Linked DNA regions of Stegostoma tigrinum. The protein of the gene in region 2 binds, or shares a complex with, the protein of the main gene of each other region. Links are inferred from orthologs where the notes say so. Each region holds a gene or a part of one and is shown on either strand. Other genes may lie near its edges.

Region 1 (7,575 bases), on a different chromosome or scaffold from region 2:
CTAGCAAAACAGTATGTAAACCTGGAACTATAGTTTGAAAAGACAAGACTTGCAGAAATAGGGTGGCAGGGTGGCTCAGTGGTTGGCACTGCTGCTTCACAGCACCAGGGACCCATGTTTAATTCCAGCCCCGAGGAACTCTGTGTGGAGTTTGCACACTCCATGTCTGCATGGGTTTCCTCCCACAGTCTAGAGATGTCCAGGTCAGGTGAATTGGCCATACGAAATTACCCATAGTGTCCAGGGGTGGCTAAATTAGGTGGATTGGTGATGGGGGTGCAGGGATGAGGGGTGAATCTGGGTGGAATGCTCCTTTCTGAGTTGGTGTGGACTCATTGAGCTGAATGGCCTGTTCCCACACTCTAGGGATTCTATATTGTTACAAATGGTATAAATTTGAAATAAAAAACAAATATATAAAATAATCAGGTCAGGCAGCATTTGTGGAATATGGAACGGAGCTAATACTTTGAGTTGAATATAACTCTTCTTCCAAACTTCTTGTAGGAGCACTGCCAAGAGTCAAACAACAGAAGAAATGCTCACAAAAAAGCAAAATTACATTGTCAAAACTTTTTTGATCTGGCAAAATAACGAGGGAGCGTTAAGCGAGGCATCTTCTGGAGTGCTGCGTCCAGTCCAGGTTGCCTTGTCATAGGAAGGATATTATTAAGCCAGAGAGAGGTCAGAAAAAGTTCAGCAGGAATGGAGCATGTGAGTTATAAGGAGAAGCTGGGACCCCTGTTTCTACTGGAGCATAGGTGGTTGAGGGTTGACCTTATCGGAGCTTATAAAATCATAAAGGTGATGGTAGGTGTCTTTCCCTTGAGATGGGGGATTTCAAGACAAGGAGTGGGGGGGGATATCTTTTGCTGAGAGGAGAAAGATTGTTTAAGAAAAAAAGAGGGGCAACATTTTTGGCACCGAGAGCTATTCTTGTTTGGAATGAACTGCCAGAGAAATTCATGGATGTAGGTAAAATTACAATATTTAAAGGACATTTAGATAAGTCCATGAATAAGACGGATATGGACTAATCGCAAGCGGGTGGGACTAGGGTCAGCATGGACTGGTTGGGCTGAATGGTCTGTTTCTGTGTGGTATGACGATGACTGTGACAAGGGAAAGTTTTTTTTCCAATTTGTAATCTAAGTTTCTCCATCCTGTATATATTACTAATCGCAAACGTTATTATTTAATTGAGATTTCATAACATCCACATTTTTAAGAAGTGCAACATACATCAGTGCAACATTAAGAATAGATTGCTGCCCCAAGGCAGAAATCACTGGTGGATGCGGTGTTTAAGAGCCCTAAACTCCCAGCCACAAGGAAAGTTAAGTGAATCAATAATTTTCAAATCAATACCACATTACTGCTATCTGTGAAATTCCAGTAAAGCATGCCATTATTTGGAATTCAAAGGTCTTATCTATCATTGACTGTTTTGCTGGATCCAGAAGCATCAAGTTCCTGCAATCAATTTTAATGAAAGGTAATTTGACACTTTGAAACCGATAACCCATCTGACATAATAGCTTTTTTTTTCAATGAGAATAATGGGGAAAGTCAGCGAAAACAAATAAATGAATTCACTACCAATAGACAAATTTTAAAAATGCCATTTTTAGTATTTCTAGCTAAATTGCAAGAACGGTTATAAAATTGTTAAATGCTTCTCATTCAAAGTGACAAATGTTTATTTTCCTCTCCAATTTTCTCTGTTTTCCCAATAAAGTTTGCTCCCCTAAATTAACAGTTCCTCAGAATCTGGTTCTAAACATGGCCATTCTGCATTAAGGACTGCAGTACTGAGTCCAAAGGAACATAGAAGAACACATTCTGGAAGGATCATGGGGTCAAATGTAGAAAACAGAATTTCAGTAAAACTAATTTTATCCACCTGGCTTTGAAAGAATCAGCTTGCATACTTAGATGCAGCCTGAAATATGGGATCAGGACATTGCTTTATCACAATCAAAAAAAACTTAGAGAAGAGAGCCTCAATCCATTTAGATATTAAAAACCCAAAATTACTGTCACTAGGTTACCAGTGAGGGCAATTCTGTCTCCTTATTCAACGAAAGATATATCTGTATTCAAGGGAGTGCAACAAAGATTTATTAAATGTGATTTCTGGAGTGAGGAAAATGTCCAAAGAGGAGAGATACAGTAAACTTGGCCCATGTTTTTTGGGGTTTAAAAAAATGAAAAATCTTATTGGAACCCTGAAGTTCTTGAAGAGTTTTACAGGGTATATTCTGGGAGGATGTTTCCCCCAAGGGAATCACTGTTATCAGAATAAAGGGTAGGCCATTTCAGAAATTAGAAGATGCTCTAAGAATTGGCTTTATTGAAAACAGAGAAATATTGATTTTTGGATACTAAAAAAAATAAAGATAAACATGGCGGGGGGGTGTACTGTTGGATGGAGTTAGGGTAGAAAGTCTTACTGAATGGTGGTGAAGGCTCAAAGGTTTGTATGGTCACGTGCATTTTTTAATGTTCTTACATGTAAATAAACACTAAATTGGAGTTAAGATCAAAAGAAGAGTCAGACAGTTTTATATCCTATATAAAGTTTAGATCTCTAGGCTTCAACATTAGCTCAGAGATGCCAACCTCCCAAAATTGATGGTCAACTCGAGAAACTCTGGCAGTGCTGAAACATTACACTGGCCATTTTTCAGACAAACCTTAAACTGAAATTTTTTTGCCTAGGGAATTGCTCAATACTCAGCTTATTACTTGAACAGATTCCTGAAAAGCTAGGGGAGGCCTACGTGAGGGCTGTCGAGCGCAGAAGAGATACAGATTCCAGTCAGGAAACTGGGGTCCGTGCGCCGTTACCAGGGTGACACGGCCAGACGGGCGGCGCCACTTCCTCGCCCGGGACCCCTCCATCAGCAGCTCGTCCTCCCAGACAACAATAGCTGTACACAGCACCATTCACTTCCATTCCTACCTGTAGCTAGGTCCTTGGCAGCCCCGTCCTGCAACCCACTCACAAACTCCTCCACCAGCCCTAACAGCCTCATGTCGGCGGCCATGCTGCTGCACTCAACCGCGCATGCGCCACGAGCTGGATGTCACGTGACCGCAAATGGCACAGATCACATGCTCATTACTCTGCAGACTACACAGAGAAACTCCTTCACTTGACAGCTTTGATTTTAATTCTGTTAGTCAAAGGGAACAGAGACTGAATTCAATGTAGAAGATAAAACATTTTTAACGGACTCACGCAGTTATTTGGCTGTCCAAAGCTTCAGTATTGTTGAAAAAGCAGACATGAAGTAGTATAAAAATTCTTCTTTTGTCAAAGTTGATTTTTTTTTCAACAATACTCAAATCACAGAATAATTACAATGCAGAAGAGGGAGGTGGTGGTGTAATGGAAATATTGCTACAAGGGTTATCCAAAAGAGAAGGAAATGTGTTATCCTTACCTGATTTGACCTAAATGTGAGCCACAATGATGTGGTGAACTGTCAGTTTTCTTCTTAAAAAGGCAATACCAGTGATGCTCAACATCCCATGAAAGGATAAAGGAGGCCATTTGGCCTATTAATAAAAATTTTGCATTTTGTTCCATACTAATTTTGGTCTCAAATCTTCTTAACCTTTCCCTGACCTGCCCCTGTGGTTGCCTTAACCCACCAACCCAACCCCAGCAACAGAATAAAACCCACTCCTTCCTTCTTTAGTTCCTTAAAGAGTCACTGTATTTAAAATATTAGCCATGTTTCTGTCTCCACTGATGCTGTCAAACCTTCTGGGGTTCTCCAGCAGTTCCTATGTGTATTTAATTTAACCGATTCCCCTTCTGCCTTCACAATGTAACCCTGCACATGATGTACAAATCAGGAAGAAGAGTAGAGATAACAAAGTATAGAGCTGCATGAACACAGCAGGCCAAGCAGCATCTTAGGAAAGCTGACATTTTGGGCCTAGATCCTTCATCAGAAAGTTTCCTGCCCCTCTAATGTTGCTTGACCTCCTGTGTTCCTCCAGCTCCATACTGTATTGTCTGTAAATTTGATCAAATCGTCATTTTTAAAAAATAAATTAAAGAGATGATTATTTGAATTTGTATAGCAACAATGGAACTTTGTTCCTGAAAATGCCGTCTTTGAATATTTTTAAGAAATACCTTGACAAGTACTTTTTAAGCAAGGGAATGAAAAGTTATTGGGGTTGGTGGGAATGTGGATTTGAGATTACAATAAGGTAAACTGTCATATAATTGTATAGTAGAGCAGGTTTGAGAAGTTGACTAGCCTAATCTTCTTCCTGAGATGATAGGAACTGCAGATGCTGGAGAATCCAAGATAACAAAGTGTGGAGCTGGATGAACACAGCAGGCCAAGCAGCATCTTGGGAGCACAAAAGCTGACGCTTCGGGCCTAGACCCTTCATCAGAAATCTGTTCCTCCAGCTCCATACTGTATTGTCTCTGACTCCAGCATCTGCAGTTCTTGCGACCCCTGATCAAATTTAATTCTTTCAAAATTGCTTTAATCTTTTAAACTCGAACTCAAGATTTTAGACTGGAGCTCTGAATTAGTCAACAATTGATGTTACCCAGATTACCCCATGGTCCTTATTATATGGCACAGAGTAAAGTTTCCCCCATTTCTAGTTTCAGGGGGTCGCCTTAGTAACGGCTGGCATCCGGTTGCTAAGGAAGAGTACGCCGATGGGGGGGGCGTGGCAGGTGCCCGTGCGCGTGCGCGGTGGGCCGCGCGTCAGGTGTGGGAGGCCAGCGTTACCCAGCGTGCACCGGGCGGGGTAAGGCAACGGCGCAGGCGCTTTGGGCCGGTGGGTGTACATTGATAGTAACGTCGCTCAGGTGGGGAAAGGCTGGTAGTGGAGTGTCACTGCTGGTTCAGCTTCCGAAAGATATGGAGTGAAGCTAGACAGAATTGTATGTTCACAGATTAGACCAACTTTTGCTTTGTGACATTGAGGGAGAGAAAGCGCGAGAGAGCCTGCCTTATTGGCTGAGATGGGAAGGTTGGTGAAGCGATGAGAGATGTTGGTGTAGTTTTGCAGTAGCAGGTAAAGTAGGTGAGGGCCGACTGGTTGCCCCGGTTACGGGCTGTTACTTGGTTTGGGAGAGAGAGGAGGGGTAGTTCTGTGTTTGCACTGGGGTTTTGGGGTGGGTTAGGGATTATCTTGGATCCAAACTTTGCACGGACTGGTGGGTCTTAAAGGTGGACCGTGGGATTTCTTTTGTGTGCGTTTTTTGGGAGGGGATAGACGGCGAGTCTTTAAGAAAATGAATTCATGAGCTCCAGGGGACTTGCTGCGAGTTTCTCCCAGACTTCAGGTGGGTTTGCGGTTAGTGGGTGAGACGCACCTGGGTCAAGGGCATCATTGATGGGAGGCTGCGTGGGGACCCAACGCCGGCAACAACAACAGCAGCAACATCATCGCTTAGGGAGACGGAGTGGCAATGGGAGAAAAACAGGTAAGGCAGCAGAAGAGTGTAAAATTATGATAGCGCCCAGTGTTTCCGATTGGGCGTGCTCAGCAGGGGGCTAATGGCGTAGGACTTTTTTTCACTTTTGGTCATAATTTTAGTTCCAGCAATGCAATATATTTTCCATCGTGTCAGTGTTGTGTTAGTAGAATCGCCATCCAAATTGTAGTTCACTAAATTAATGAGAAGTCTGTTCACGCGCTGCTTTTGGAAGCTACTTCCTTATTTATATTTCTTCCATTGCTACATGGCAAGGCCCATCTATCTACTAATGTTAGATTTATGCCTGTGTTGATACTGATACTCAGACATTTATCATTTTTTCAGGATAAAAGCTCGATGTTTTAATGTAGCCATTCAGTTTAGGTGAACTTACCTTGGATATGTATCAGTGAAATTACTTGTTCTAGCTCTTTCTTTCCCACTCTCATCTCTGACCTCTGTATTCTGCCCCATGTAAAAGCTTTGTCTCCAAAGGTCTGTTTTTGCTTCCTGGATGCCAGTTTTATACCCAGGTGGGCAGGGAGATTGAATGCTGCTTGTGATAGCAGCAGACCTGCTGTATATCTGGTCGATTCTTAGACACACAGCTTGAGTGACTGCCAGCAAGTCTGGTTATCCCTGAAATAGTCAAATTCAATAAAAGCCATTTTTGGATAAATAAGCATTTTCAGTAATGTTGATAGTAAGGGTTAAAATTTTACTTTGTAGCTGGAATGTGTTTTCTTTTTATGGAATTAATTTTTCATGTCAATCTTATTTGCATAAGAAATTTATTTAACTGTTTTCAAAACAAAGTTGATTGCTTTACCGACCAGAAAAATTATTTGTTTTGCCCACCTGGGTGGCTGATATTCATGTTAACCTACACTTAAGGTCAGATTTGAGTAGACTGGCATTAGCGAACAGACCTCCGGTATCAATACCTCATTCTGCTTCTCCTATCCCAGCAGAACTTTGCCCAGTTTTTCATTGATCTACAGTTTGGGGGTCTGAGATAAGATGATCAGATTTAGTAAAGTGAATGTTAGGAGCTTGTGATTCACGCAGGTATTTCATAAGCTGTATTCGTAACTAAGTTATTTCACAAGCTGTTTTCGTCATCCTGCAATGGAGGACAAGTCTATAGGGACACACCCCACTTAATTTACCTGTAGCTGCTTCAGATGAATAGTCAACTAAAATATTTATCCAAAACAGTTCCTGGCAGGAATTTCCATATAATAAGTGAAGTGGCAATGTTCTGCAGAAAATTCAACCGGTTTATCTTTGTCTAGGGTTCACAAATGTAATTAGTGCCTGAAAAGGGAAATAATTGCCGGGTTCAGGAAAAAGCAGGGGAGGGGGTTGAGGTAATTAACTCTGGTGAAGAGTTTGCATGGAGAGAGCAGACAGTGATTTTTCTGTGCGTTGTTCTATGATTTCCAACATACATGACTATAGTCACAATAACAACACTGAATGAGGTCTCTGAGCTGACTGAGTGAATGATAGCAAAAAAAAACATTGTCTTTCTTTCCCATAGCCCAGTACTTAGTATCCTTAATGTATTTCCAATTTTCTTTTGAAGACTAATGAAGTTGTGTGCAGATTTATATCTTCAAATTTAGTACTAGTTGAAGTTGAATACCTTTGCAAATTGTTAATTGAGCTTTTTCATAATTATGTCTTCTACGAACTTTATTTGTAACATTTACATATTAGCATATTCTTTCCAGTTTTTGCAATGCTTATTTATCTTATGTTTCTACAATAATTTAAAATGATTGCAGTAAGGAAGCAGAACATATTGCTTTCTATATTGCATGACAAAAGCAACCGTATTGGGGATTATTTCCCAATCTAGCGGTCTGGTATAAGATTGTGGTGGGTGATTTGCACCAAAGTGATGAACCAAGAGCTCCATGTGGTCTAACAGATCAACCCTAGTTTTGCAATTAACTCTGAAAGTTTGCACATTAGGATACAGTCTAACAGTAAGCACCATGACAGATTGTGTGGAAGCTTAATTTGTACGTAAATCTCTTAGCGACCGTTGTAGTTTGTTGCATTTGTACCACTGTTCGTGTCTGACAGGAGATATTTCTTTT
Region 2 (7,017 bases):
TTATTTGTACAGTTTTAGCAGGCTTTCCATTTTGATATACTCCATCCCCTTTGGAATAAAGACCAACAAACCATTTGCCTTCCCTATAACCTACTAAATTGTAAATTAGTATTTTATGAATATGTACAAGGATATTCACGTGTTACAGCTTTCTGCTGTCCTTCTCCGTCTGAGTAACATTCAGCCTTTTTATTTTTCTTGCTAAAATGTATTCTCTTATGTTTTCCCATATTAAGCTACATCTTCCAAGTTTTACCCATATATTTAGCTTGTCCACATCCTTCTATAGCATCTAATCATCACTCACCCTTCCACCTAATTTGTGTCATCTCCAAGCTCAGCGACAGTACATACAGCATGGGGTTAGATAACAGAATAAATTTCTTCTGCTTAGTAAACACAAAGTAAAGCATCTTCTACACTGTCTTCATCAAACAGTCCCAAGGCAGGTACAACACAGAGTTAAATAAAGAGTAAAGCTGTCTCTACTCTTTTAAACTGAAAGTAAACCAAGTAAGGCTCCCCTGACACTTCCCCTATTAAAAAGCTCTTTTAACAGGTACATCATTGGGTTGATGCAGAGCCTTTTAAACGGAAATTGAGGCTCCCTTTACACTGTACATTCCAAGCACTCCAAGGACAGGGGCATCACAGGATTAGAAACAGAATAACGCTTCCTCTACTCCTTTAAACAGCTAGTAAAATGTCTCTCGAACTATCTCCATCAAACACTCCCAGGCACAGCATGGGGTTAAATTCTGAGTTAAAGTGCCTGCTATCTTCTCTTTTAAACTGAAAGGAAACTTTCCTCTACATTGTCTCCATCAAACACATGCAAGACTAGAGGGTTAGACACAAAACAATTCTCTATCTACTGTTTTAAACAGAAAGTAAATGTCCCTCAACAATGTCCCAGTCAAAAAACCTCAGGGCAGGGCTAGCACCCAGTTAGAGAGAGAATAAAGCTTGTTCTAAACTATCCCGATAAGTATTTCCAATTTGCATCCAAGTTGTATTTCAGTTAATGTCACATGAAACATCAACAGACAATAGACAATAGGTGCTGGAGTGGGCCATTCAGCCCTTCGGGCCAGCACCACCATTCATTATGATCATGGCTGATCATCCACAATCAGTATCCTGTTCCTGCCTTATCCCCATAACCCTTGATTCCACTACCTTTAAGAGATCTGTCTATCTCGTTCTTGAAAGCAACTTATCAAAAAACCTGTAACATTGAGAATTTGAGAACATTGTTGTATCAAGTGACTGAGAATAAAGGAATGGAACTCAACAACAATCTCCTTGCAGACAGGCCACACGTGGATGTGAAGGTTATATAACTGGCAAAGGGTTCAGTCAGCAGTGAAGGTACCACCTCAGCAATTATTCACTGGGGTCCAGGGCCCCAATTTATGCAGAACCGGCTCCCATTTCTCCCCATCCCCTGAAGCTCCACTTCTCTCTTGCTGTAACTCCTCTTGTTCCTTCAGTTCTCCCCTTCATCTCTCAATCCGTGTTCCTCCTCACTCCCTCATTTCTCAATCCGTGTTCCTCCTCACTCCCTCATCTCTCAATCCGTGTTCCTCCTCACTCCCTCATCTCTCAATCCGTGTTCCTCCTCACTCCCTCATCTCTCCCTCCCTCCCTGTTCCTCCTCATTCCCTCATCTCTCCCTCCCTCCCTGTTCCTCCTCATTCCCTCATCTCTCCGTCCCTCCCTCTCTGTTCCTCCTCACTCCCTCATCTGTCCGTCCCTCCCTCCCTGTTCCTCCTCACTCCCTCATCTCTCCCTCCCTCCCTGTTCCTCCTCACTCCCTCATCTCTCCCTCCCTCCCTGTTCCTCCTCACTCCCTCATCTCTCCCTCCCACCCTGTGCCTCCTCACTCCCTCATCTCTCCCTCCCTCCCTCCCTGTTCCTCCTCACTCCCTCATCTCTCCCTCCCTGTTCCTCCTCACTCCCTCATCTCTCCCTCCCTCCCTGTTCCTCCTCACTCCCTCATCTCTCCCTCCCTCCCTGTTCCTCCTCACTCCCTCATCTCTCCCTCCCTCCCTGTTCCTCCTCACTCCCTCCCTCCCTGTTCCTCCTCACTCCCTCCCTCCCTGTTCCTCCTCACTCCCTCCCTCCCTCCCTGTTCCTCCTCACTCCCTCCCTCCCTCCCTGTTCCTCCTCACTCCCTCATCTCTCCCTCCCTGTTCCTCCTCACTCCCTCATCTCTCCCTCCCTCCCTGTTCCTCCTCACTCCCTCATCTCTCCCTCCCTCCCTGTTCCTCCTCACTCCCTCATCTCTCCCTCCCTCCCTGTTCCTCCTCACTCCCTCATCTCTCCCTCCCTCCCTGTTCCTCCTCACTCCCTCATCTCTCCCTCCCTCCATCCCTGTTCCTCCTCATTCCCTCATCTCTCCCTCCCTCCATCCCTGTTCCTCCTCATTCCCTCCCTCCCTGTTCCTCCTCACTCCCTCATCTCTCCCTCCCTCCCTGTTCCTCCTCACTCCCTCATCTCTCCCTCCCTCCCTGTTCCTCCTCACTCCCTCCCTCCCTGTTCCTCCTCACTCCCTCCCTCCCTGTTCCTCCTCACTCCCTCCCTCCCTGTTCCTCCTCACTCCCTCCCTCCCTGTTCCTCCTCACTCCCTCATCTCTCCCTCCCTGTTCCTCCTCACTCCCTCCCTGTTCCTCATCTCTCCCTCCCTGTTCCTCCTCACTCCCTCATCTCTCCCTCCCTGTTCCTCATCACTCCCTCCCTCCCTGTTCCTCATCACTCCCTCCCTCCCTGTTCCTCATCACTCCCTCCCTCCCTGTTCCTCATCTCTCCCTCCCTGTTCCTCCTCACACTCTCCCTCCCTGTTCCTCCTCACTCCCTCATCTCTCCAGCCCTCACTCTCTGTTCCTCCTCACTCCCTCCCTGTTCCTCATCTCTCCCTCTCTGTTCCTCCTCACTCCCTCATCTCTCCTTCCCTCTCTCCCTCATTCACCTCATTTTCACCGCTTCAGTTCCACGTCCCGCCCTCTCCAGTCTCCACCAATCACAGATCCACTTTCCCAGTCTTTGCTCTCCACTGGTTGCATTGTCTGTCCATCTGTTCCCTTCCCACCTCCTGCAGCCTTTTGCAATCGAACACCGCTCCGACGGCCAGGTAGAGGAGTTGGGCGTCGATAGCTCTGAAGGATAGATGGAGTAGCTCCTCCTTCTTGCACTAAGAACACATTCACATTGACTGTAACTGCAGAGAGCTCTGACCCACATTATTCTCATCACACACAGGCCACTTTATTTCAGGAAATCATCCATCTTGTTCCCTCCAAACAAACAATCTCAGTGTCATTTAGCACAGAGGAGGTCTTTCGGCCCATCGAATCCCATTCCTTTGACATTTGAAGACCAAGAATCCACACAGCAGGACCTCTGCTCTTCCTGTCCAATTGTAATGAGGCTTATTCTTGTGCTCCAGAACCTGGACTTAACAATTTTCACACTTTGGCTAAATTAATCTGATACTATCCTGAATTTTGGTCAGCCACAGATGGGTCACTTTTCCTAGGGAATTCGTCTACCACTGAATAAAGTTTCATTATTAATTTTAAAGCATTTCTTTCAGTGGCTGTCACATCTTATCAAATTCCACAGCATTTATTCCACTTTCACAAACAATCTTCCTTGACTCCGTGGTTACCACTGCTAAAACACAGCACGAAGTACCTAGATTTAATCCCGGCCTCAGGTGACTGTCTGCGTGGAGTTTGCACATTCTCTCCTGACTGTGTGGGTTTCCTCCCACAGTCTAAGGACGTGCAGATTAGTTGGACTGGCCATGCTAAATTGCCCAGGTATCCTGAGAAGTGTAAGGTAGGTGGATTAGCCATGGTCAATAGAGGGAAAGGATTTGGATGGGGTGCTCTTCAGAGGATCAGTATGGACTTGATGGCCTGCTTCTGTGCTCAAGGGATCCATGATTTGTTCCTCACACATGACATACCGTAGTTGGTTTTATTTAACCTCAATATCCTTATCTTGAATTTAAGTATGCGTGTTTCAAACTGAATGTAAAAGAGCCCTATTTTGTTATTGTTCTGCCTCAATGGATCTTTGATATCATACACAATATTAAAGCTGAAGCATCAGTCGGCATTATTGAGCGGTTTCTGCTGCATCTGATCTGATGATATTACCTTGCACTAGGCCTCTAATATGATATTTTTGCTCAACTAAGGATACTCCACGCCATCATGTTTGACACGACCCTCAAACATTCAACCATGTCTGACCCACCTCTACCACGTCTGCCCTCACCTATTCCCCTCCCTTCCACAACAACAATTGGGTTCGTCTAAACCTCACTTTCCACCCCACCAGTCCCTAAATTCTAAGGATTATCCTCTGCCATTTCTGCAGCCATCAGCAGGATGCCACCATCAAATAAATCTTTCCTTAACCTCCCATGTCAGCATTCCACAGGAACTCCACTAGATACTGGCCCAATCCTAGATCACTCCTAACTCTTCCTCATTCTCCAATGGCACCTTCCCGTGCAGCCAGAGAAGGTGTATTTACCTTCCATTTACATTCCCCCTCACTGCTTAAGGCACCAAATACACAAACCAGGTGAAACAGCATTTTACTTGTACTTCTTTCAATCTAATCTACAGTATTTGCTGCTCATAATGCAGTCTCCTCTGCATTGCAGACTGGCTGACCACTTTGCAGAACACTTCTGCTCTGTCCATAAGAATGACTCCAACTTCAACCTTCCAGTCACATGCCATTTTAATAAACCATATGGTTCTCATATTAACATTTGCATTGGGACTGCTGTATTTCTCCAAAGATACACAATGTAAGTTCAACCAACAACAGCCAGGCTTCCACTTAGGCACTTTACAGCCAATAGGATTCAATGTTGAAATCCAAAAGACAAAACCATTACTGGATGTATTCCTGGCAGCTTTCATGAAGAGTCATCCAGACTTGAAACATTAGCTTGTTCTCTGTCTGTGGATGATGCCTGACCCATTGTGTTTTTCAGTGATTTTTTTGAGCTCAGTAGAGATCAGGAGGTTTTTGGGAATTATTTAGGAATTTATTTTGATGGTCTATTGAGGATATTATTGAGGAAGATTGGGGGATGATTTTAATGGTTTGTTTAGGGTGTTTATGAGGAGGGTTTTTGGGGATTATTTAATGAGTTATTTTAATGGTTTATTTAGGGTGGTATTGAGGATTTTGGGGATTATTTAGTAATTTATTTTAAAGAATTATTTAGGGTGTTATCGAGGAGGTTTTTTGGGGATTATTTAGTGATTTATTTTAATGTATTATTTAAGGGTGTCATTGAGGAGGTTTTGGGGATTTAGTGATATATTTTATGGATTATTTAGGGTGTTATTGAGTGGGTTATTGACTGGGTTTTTGAAGCTTATTAACATAAGAACTAGGAACAGGAGTAGGCCATTCGGCCCCTTGAGCCTGCCCCACCATTCAATAAGATCATGGCTGATCTTTTTGAGACTCAGCTCCACTTACCTGCCCACACACCGTAACCCTTAATTCTTTCACTGTTCAAAAATTTATCTAGCCTTGTCTTAAACACATTCCGTGAGGTAGCTTCAACCGCTTCACTGGGCATGGAATCCACAGATTCACAACCCTTTGGGTGAAGAAGTTCCTCCTGACCTCAGTCCTACATCTGCTTCCCTTTATTTTGAGGCGATGCCTTCTAGTCCTAGTTTCACCTGCTAGCGGAAACAACCTCCCTGCCTCCACCTTATCTATTCCCTTCATAATCTTATATGTTTCTATAAGATCTCCCCTCATTCTTCTGAATTCCAATGAGTATAACCCCAGCCCGCTCAGCCTCTCGTCATGACCCAACCCTCTCAACTCTGGAATCAACCGAGTGAATCTCCTCTACACTCCCTCCAGTGCTAGTATATCTCTTCTCAAGTAAGGAGACCAAAAACTGCACACTGTACTCCAGGTGTGGCCTCACCAGGACCCTATACAGCTGCAGCATAGCCTCCCTGTTTTTAAACTCCATCCCTCCAGCAATGGCAGACAAAATTCCATTTGCCTTTTTAATTACCTGCTGCACCTGCAATCCTACTTTTAGCGATTCATGCACAAGGACACCCAAGTCCCTCTACTGCAATGTTTTACCATTTAAAACATAGTCTATTTTGCTGTTATTCCTACCAAAATGGATGACCTCACACTTATCAACATTGTACTCAATCTGCCAGACCTTTGCCCACTCACTTAGGCTATCTATATCCCTCTGTAGACTTTCAGTCTTTTGCACACTTTGCTCTACTACTCATCTTACAGTCATCTGCAAATTTTGACACACCACACTTAGTTCCCAAATCTAAATCATCTATGTAAATTGTAAACAATTGTGGTCCCAACACTGATCCCTGAGGCACACCACTAGCCACTGACCGCCAACTAGAAAAACACGCCTTTACCCCTACTCTTTGCTTTCCACTAGTCAACCAATCCTCTATATGCCAATACATTACCTGTAATGCTGTGCAACATTATCTTATACAACAGCCTTTGGTGTGGCACCTTGTCAAATGCCTTCCGGAAATCCAGATACACCACACCCACAGGCTCCCCATTGTCCATATCCAAGTAATGTCCTCAAAGAATTTCACCAAATTAGTTAAACATGACCTACCCTTCATGAACCCATGCTGTGTGTTCCCAGTGGGAGAATTTATATGTACACAGATCCTTGAAAGTTGCCACCCAGGTTGACAGGGCTATTAAGAAGGCATACAGTGTTTTAGCTTTTATTAATAGAGGGATTGAGTTCCGGAACCAAGAAGTTATGCTGCAGCTGTACAAAACTCTGTTGCGGCCGCACTTGGAGTATTGTTTACAGTTCTGGTCACCGCATTATAAGAAGGATGTGGAAGCTTTGGAAAGGGTGCAGAGGAGATTTACTAGGATGTTGCCTGGTATGAAGGGAAGGTCTTATGAGGAAAGACTGAGAGACTTGAGGCTGTTTTCGTTAGAGAG
Region 3 (7,494 bases), on a different chromosome or scaffold from region 2:
GAAACCATAATAACATTTCAGAAGTTTTTAGTTGTGCGCTTGTAATGCTGAGGCATGCAAGGTTATGGGCAAAATGCTGGAAAATGGGAATAGAATAGTTAGGTTACAAGGTGTAGAGCTGGATGAACAAAGCAGGCCAAGCAGCATCAGAGGAGCAGGAAAGTTGATGTTTCAGGTCGAGACCCTTCTAGGTAGATCCAGCTCTATACCTTGTTATCTCAGATTCTCCAGCACAGACAGTTCCTACTACCTCTGTAAGAATAGTTGGGTATTTGTGTTTGACCAGCGCAGACTCAATGGGCCAATGGGTATTTTTCTTTGATGTAGACCTCTATGACTACATAATCTTATGAGAAAGAAGACTGTAGGTAATAAGCAGTCATAGAATTACATATTCAATGTGAAGCTATCAGGGCTCGGGTGTCTCAAACTAGGATTTTAAAGTAAATAAAGGGATTCATTTGACTGAGAAAGCAGAGCTGGCTAAACTGAGACTAGTTTATGAGGTAGGACAATAGAAACTCAGTGGCAGACTGTTAAAGGCACATTTAATGACTCTCAGCAAAAATTTATTCCGGTGAGATCCAAAGACTCCTCGAGAAGGATGAATCAACTGATGGTGAATAGGTAAACTAAGGTCAGTGTTCGACTGAAAGAAGCACTGTATAATTTTCTCAGAGATAGATAGAACTTCAGTTGCTGGAGTTAGAGATGACGCAGTGTGGAACTGGAGGAACATAGCAGGTCAGGCAGCATCAGAGGAGCAGGAAAGTCGACATTTTGGATTGGAACCCGAAACGTTAACTTTCCTGCTTCTCTGATGCTGCCTGACCTGTTGTGTTCCTCCAGCTCCGCACTGTGCTGTCACTGTACAATTCTCTAATGAGTAGTGATAAGTCAGAGGTGTCGACAGATATTTAAGAGCCAGCAGTGAATTTAAAAAATTACATAAATATTAAGTGGAGTGGCAGAAAGCAGACTATGAGTGATATCTAGCTAGATGGGAACAAAAACAGAGAATAAAAGTTATAGTATTAGTCCTCTTGTGACAGTGAATCTGGAGGATTGAAAATGGAAATTAAAGAAATCACTGAGATTTTTACCAACTATTTTATGTTGGGTTCCGTGTAGATACTGAAAATCAAGAGGTGATACAGAGAGACGAATTTCAAGTAATCACCATCACCAGGGAAAAGCTGCTGGGAAAACTATTTGACCTAAAGTTTGAAGGTCCCCAGGATCTAACATAGAACAATACTGCGTAGAACAGGCCCTTCGGCCCTCGATGTTGCGCTGTCTTAAAAGAAATTACAAAGATAGTGGGGGATTCATTATAATTTTAGAAAATTCCCTGGATTTTGGAAAAGATCACAGCAGTTTTGAAAATAGCAAATCTTTATTCAATTAAAGTCACCATCGTCTTACTCGACGATAGGACTACTGTTTCATTAGAGAGAGACAACTGCTGGTGGTTTAAACTGAGGGTCACCATAGCTCAGGCAAGAAGACAGGATGAGAAGGGGAGTCCTTCATGGCAACCTCAGCTGGTGCAGGAATTGAACCCATGCTGTTGGCCACACTCTGCAATTCAATCCAACCATCCAGCCAAATGAACTAACCGACCCCTCTACCTTTAAGAACACAGGGGAACAGAAAGCAGGAAACTACAAGCTGCTCAGTGTCACATCCGCCACAGGGAAGATGCTTCAATCAACTCGTAAGGAGGCTATAGCAAAATACTTCAAAAAACGAGTGATCAGAGTCAAAGATAACAAAGCGTGGAGCTGGATTAACACAGCCGGCCAAGCAGCATCTTAGGAGCACAAAAGCTGACATTTTTGGCCTAGACCCTTCATCAGAAAAGGGGGATGGGGAGAGAATTCTGAAATAAATAGGGAGAGAGGAGGAGGCAGACATAAGATGGATAGAGGAGAAGATAGATGGAGAGGGCAGTATAGGTGGGGAGGTAGCAAAAGATCGGAGTCAACATTGTTTTGTAAAAAAGAAATTGTATTTAACTGGTCTTTTAGAGCTATTTGATGAAATAACATCCTAATGAATAGAGAACAACTAATAATATAATAAATTTGTATTTCCAAAAGGTACCAGCTTAGTAGACAGGGAGACATTCTATCAGCATTGATACAATTGGTTAAATAATAGACAGCAGAGATAAATGGTGCATTTTCAGCTTAGCAAGCTGAACAACTGGAGTGCCACAGGGATCAGTTCTGGGCACTGAACTACTCACAACTTAAATCAAGAGGTTGGATGAGATAGTCAAATATACAGCTGCTAAATTTGTCAATGACGGCCCGGAAAATAAAGTGTCAAGAAGTGGAGAGTTTACAATGGGATGCAGATATGTTAAGTGAATGGGCAGATTTAGGAGTCAAGTGCATGAAAAGTGTAACTTTCTCCCCTTTGACGGGAAGAATAGAAAAGCAGCATTTTACTTTTAAAGGTCGAGGGAGAGATCGGAGAACTGAGGTACATAGCGCCATCTAGTTTCCAGGTTGTGAATCCCACAATGGGTTAGCACGCACAAATACAGCAAGTACGAGGAAACTCGATTGAATGGTGGCATTTGTTACAAGGGGTTTGAATATAAAAGTGGGAATGTGCTGTGGGGCCTCGGTGAGAGCACAGCTGGAGGGAGTGGTTTCGTTTTTAAAAGAAATGATGACCCCCAGAAAGTAGTGCAGATCCGAGTTAGCCAGATCCTTCACTGCTCGTACGGTGGGGTTGGGCCATCAGCACCCGGCCCCCAGCACGGGATAGAAGGGCTGAAGGGTCACCTTCCGCACCACCTCAAAGCCCCTTCTCTCTTCCCCCGCCCCCCACCCACCCACCCCAAAAAGCACTGACGAGAGCTCGGTGTTCTCCACGACGAATTTCACATTTTCGTCAGACAGCTCCGTGATCCGCACCGTCGGCTGGTTCGCATACGGCATTGCGCTGCTAACGGCACTCCCCCGGAGGATTACTCCACTTTCCCGACAAGCTCCCTGGCTACCACTCCTCCACTATCCCAGCAAGCCCCGCGGAGCCGCTCCACCCACCGTCCCGGCAGGCTGTAGTGGAGTGGTAATCCGAGATAACAAAGTGTGGGGCTGGATGAACACAGCAGGATCTCAGGAACCCAAAAAGCTGACGTTTCGGGCCTAGACTGAGGAATGGGAGGGAGAATTAAAATGGTTAGCGACTGGGAGGTGCAGTTCTTTTTTTTATTGCGAAACGAGCGGAGGTGTTCTGCAAAGCGGTCCCCAAGCCTCCGCTTGGTTTCCCCAATGTAGAGGGAGCCGCACCGGGTACAGTGGATACGGTATACCACATTGGCAGATGAACATCTGCTTAATATGGAAAGACATCTTGGGGCCTGGGGTAGGGGTGAGGGAGGAGATGTGGGAGCAAGTGTAGCATTTCCTGCGGTTGCAGGGGAGTGTGGAGTGGACAAGGGAGTCACGGAGAGAGTGGTCTCTCCGGAAAGCAGACAGGGGTGGGGATGGAAAAATGTCTTGGATGGTGGGGTCGGATTGTAGATGGCGGAAGTGTCGGAGGATGATGCGTTCTATCTGGAGGTTGGTGGGGTGGTGTGTGAGAATGAGGGGGATCGTCGGTTACGTGGAACAGTCCCTCTTCCGCACCTACACAGGCCCCAAACCCCACCTTTTCCTCCGTTACATTGATGACTGTATCGGCGCCGCCTCTTGCTCCCCAGGGGAGCTTGAACAGTTCATCCACTTCACCAACACCTTCCACCCCAACCTTCAGTTCACCTGGGCCATCTCCAGCACATCCCTCACCTTCCTGGACCTCTGTCTCCATCTCAGGCAACCAGCTTGTAACTGATGTCCATTTCAAGCCCACCGACTCCCACAGCTACCTAGAATACACCTCCTCCTACCCACCCTCCTGCAAAAATTCCATCCCTCCAATTCCTCCACCTCAGCCGCATCTGCTCCTAGGATGAGGCATTCCACTCCTTGGTGAGACCATACCAGATTTGTGTCCAGTTTGGTCTGTTACCTAAGGATATGCTTGCTGTTGAGGGACTACAGCAGAGGATCCCCAGGATGGTGACATGAACCTATAAGGAGTTATGGAGGACTTGGGCTGATGTTTTCTAGAGTTTTGAAGGTTAAGAGATAACCTCACTAGTGCAAACTAAATTTTTACAAAACTCAGTGGAGTAGCTGCAGGAAGCATATTTTCCCAGGCTTCGGTGGGTGGGAACACAGGGAGAAACTGTCTCAGAATAAGGGGCTGAATATTTAGGGCTCAGGAGATTTGTCATACAGAGAAATCTTTGAATGTCCCTTCCACTAAGGGCTGTGGCTCAGTCGTTAATACTGCAGCCACTCAGTGCCAGGGTCCCAGGACTGATTCCAGCCTCAGGCGACTGTCTGTGTCTGCGTGGGTTTCCTCCCACAGTCCAAAGATGTGTCAGGTGCATTGACCGTGCTAAATTGTTAATAGTGTCCAAGGATGTTTAGGTTAGGTGGGTTAGGCATGGGAAATGCAGGAGTAGGGGAATGGGTCTGAGTGGGATACCCTTTGGAAGGACTTGTTGGGCTGAATAGCCTGTTTCCACATTGTAGGGATTCTATGATACATGCATCCTTGCAATGGGGAGTCCGGAAGCAAATTACACGCTGCAGGATTTTTAGATTATGACTTGCTCTTGTAGCCACTATGTTTGTGTAGTACATCAGTCTAGCACAGCACAGGAACAGGCCTCTTGGCCCACCATGTCTTTCTCAACCATGATGTCGTTCTGAACTAATCTCATGTCTCTAAATGCCTCTTTAAAATTATCTTATCCATTTTTACCTGTCATCCAGGTACCTACCACCCTCTTGCGCCCCACCCCCGGCACCTTAAACTTATGCTCCCTTGTATCTGACATTTCCTTGTGGAAAAGCTCTGGCGAACCACCCTTATCATTGCCTCTCATTTTTATGTACTTCTATCAAGTCACCTCTCAGTCTCTGGATGCTCTCGTGAAATCAGTCCAAATCTCTCCTTATAGCTAATACACTCCAATCCAGGCAACATCCCAGTAAACCTCTTTATACACCCTCTTCAAAGCCTCCACATCCTTCCTATAGTGCAGCAACCAGAACAGCGCACACTACTCTAAATTTGACCTCACTGAAGTTTTGTACGACTGAACGACTTGCCAATTCTTATACTCAATACCCCAATGAATGAAGGCAAGCATGCCATATGCCTTATTTATCACCTCATTCACTCTTGTTGCCACTTTCAGGGACTGTGAACTCAGATCCCAAGACCCTCTCTATATCAATGCTCCTAAGGGTCTGGCCATTTACTGCGCACTCTCATCTTGCATTTGATATCACAAAACGCATCACCTCACACTGAAGAAGGGTCCTGATCCAAAAAGTCAGCTTTCCTGCTCCTCTGATGCTGCCTGACCTGCTGTGTTCCTCCAGATCCACACTTTTATTACCTCACACTTGTCTAGGTTAAACTCCAACTGCCATTTTTGAACTCAAATATTAAATAATTGATATCCTGCTTGGACAACCTTATCATCATCCGAAACTCTACAAATACATCCTTCATTATATTCATAAGCACACTCCCTCTGTATCCATATGCACCTCTCCCCCGTGTCGACGTACACCCCTCCCCCTGTATCCCAGACACCACCATCACCGTCCCTGGATATGTCCTGTCTCATCAGCAGGACAAACCCAGGACAGGTGTTGGCACAGTGATATACAGTCAGGAGGGAGTTGCTCTGGGAGTTCTCAACATTGACTCTGGACTCCATGATATCTCATAGCTTTAGGTTAAACATGGGCAAGGAAACCTCCTGCTGATTACCACATACAGTCCTCTCAGCTGATGAATTGGGACTCCTTCATTTGACAACACTAGGGAGAAGCACTGAGGATGGCAAGGGCACAAAATGTACTCTGGATGGATGATTTCAATGTCCACCACCAACAGTAGTTTCGATTAGATTCCCTACAGTGTGGAAACAGGTCCTTTGGCCCAACAAGTCCACACTCCCCCTTCGAGCATCCCACACAGATCCATCCACCTATAACCCACACACCCCTGTACAGTAGGAGCAATTTAGCATAGCCAATCCACCTAGCCTGCACATCTTTGGACTGTGGGAGGAAACTGAAGCACCCGGAGGAAACCCACGCAGACATGGGGAGAACATGCAAACCCCGCACAGTTACCTGAGGCTGGAATCGAACCCGGGTCCCTGGTGCTGTGAGGCTGCAGTGCCAACCACTGAGCCACCGTGCCGCAGCAGTACTACCGATTGAGCTGGTTGGGCCTTAGAAGGACATAGCTGTGAGACTGGAGGAACACAGCAGGCCAGGCAGCATCAGAGCAGCAGGAAAGTCAATGTTGTGATCAGAGATAATGGGAACTGCAGATGCTGGAAAATCCGAGATAACAAAGTGTGGAGCTGAATGAACCCAGCAAGCCAAGCAGCATCTTAGGAGCACAAAAGCTGACATTTCGGGCCGAGACCCTTCATCAGCAATGGGGGAGGGGGAGAGGGTTCTGAAATAAATAGGGAGAGACGGGGAGGCGGACTGAAGATGGATAGAGGAGAAGGTGGACTGCAGCAGTTCGAGAAGGCAGCTCACACCACCTTCTCAAGGGCAATTAGCGACAGGCAATAAATGCTGACCCAGCCAGCAATGCACACTTCCCACAAATGAATGAAAGAAAATATATACACTTCCTCCCTATCCACATGCATCCATCATGGTATCTGACAGCAGGCTACACAGAACTCTACAGGACCATTTGTTTTCTCATTGATTGCTCTTTATTTGAACACACACTCATTACACACCCACACACTCACTCATGTATACATGGTGTACACACCCACACAGACATGTACACAGTCTGCAGCCTTGCCTCAGACAAGATCTCTATGGTGCCAGGTCCACACATTGTTGGTCATGATGGCCAGCACGCTGCTCATTGGTGCTGCCCAATGCCACTCAGGTTCTTCAACTGCAAAGAGAAAAAGGAGCCATCGTCAGCAGCAGCAAGGTGTGGGCCTGAAGGTAAGGAGTAGGGAGAAGAACTTGGCCCAAAGGGAAGGCGCAACCTGAGGGCAGGGAGGAGCCTGGGCCAGTACCCCAGGGGAGGGGCTGGAGCCCGCAGGGTTGAGGAGAAGTTACAGCATGGGATACAGAGCATGGGATTGGCTGTCCTGCCCTCTCCCATAGACTATGGCTATCTCAGGGTAAGTGGCACAGAGTGGCATGAAAGTGGCGATGCTTCAGGCACAGCTACAGACAACACATGGTAAAAGTGGCTTTCAATTGCACCAGTATAATCAATGCTACCCTTTTCCAACACTGGAGGATGGAATCACCCAGATTAGGAGCACCCACCCTGGCCCAGGACCACCTTGCTGGGGGCCAGTAACCTCAGCGTGGCTGAGGCCTAAGGTCCTCAGTCTCTCCACAACTGAGATTC

Evidence for each region.
Region 1: ercc2 (region 2) and mms19 share a complex: the UniProt entries of both Homo sapiens proteins name them as parts of the MMXD complex. The link is inferred for Stegostoma tigrinum from reciprocal best matches to the Homo sapiens genes ERCC2 and MMS19.
Region 3: ercc2 (region 2) and polr2c share a complex: the UniProt entries of both Homo sapiens proteins name them as parts of the TBP-based Pol II pre-initiation complex. The link is inferred for Stegostoma tigrinum from reciprocal best matches to the Homo sapiens genes ERCC2 and POLR2C.

What each region holds. Positions count from the first base shown.
Region 1 is NC_081373.1:12,315,627-12,323,201, reverse strand, and holds the start of mms19 (MMS19 nucleotide excision repair protein homolog), read right to left. Parts: upstream 3,070-7,575; 5' UTR 3,051-3,069; coding exon 2,966-3,050; intron 1-2,965. Other genes in the region: ubtd1b (ubiquitin domain-containing protein 1), read left to right, coding at 5,383-5,473. UniProt on the Homo sapiens protein: Key component of the cytosolic iron-sulfur protein assembly (CIA) complex, a multiprotein complex that mediates the incorporation of iron-sulfur cluster into apoproteins specifically involved in DNA metabolism and genomic integrity.
Region 2 is NC_081392.1:21,347,480-21,354,496, reverse strand, and holds the start of ercc2 (general transcription and DNA repair factor IIH helicase subunit XPD), read right to left. Parts: upstream 3,065-7,017; 5' UTR 2,977-3,064; coding exon 2,972-2,976; intron 1,631-2,971; exon of another isoform or gene 1,296-1,630; intron 1-1,295. UniProt on the Homo sapiens protein: ATP-dependent 5'-3' DNA helicase. Component of the general transcription and DNA repair factor IIH (TFIIH) core complex, not absolutely essential for minimal transcription in vitro.
Region 3 is NW_026728366.1:52,517-60,010, forward strand, and holds the start of polr2c (DNA-directed RNA polymerase II subunit RPB3), read right to left. Parts: upstream 3,028-7,494; 5' UTR 2,955-3,027; coding exon 2,869-2,954; exon of another isoform or gene 2,853-2,868; intron 1-2,852. UniProt on the Homo sapiens protein: Core component of RNA polymerase II (Pol II), a DNA-dependent RNA polymerase which synthesizes mRNA precursors and many functional non-coding RNAs using the four ribonucleoside triphosphates as substrates.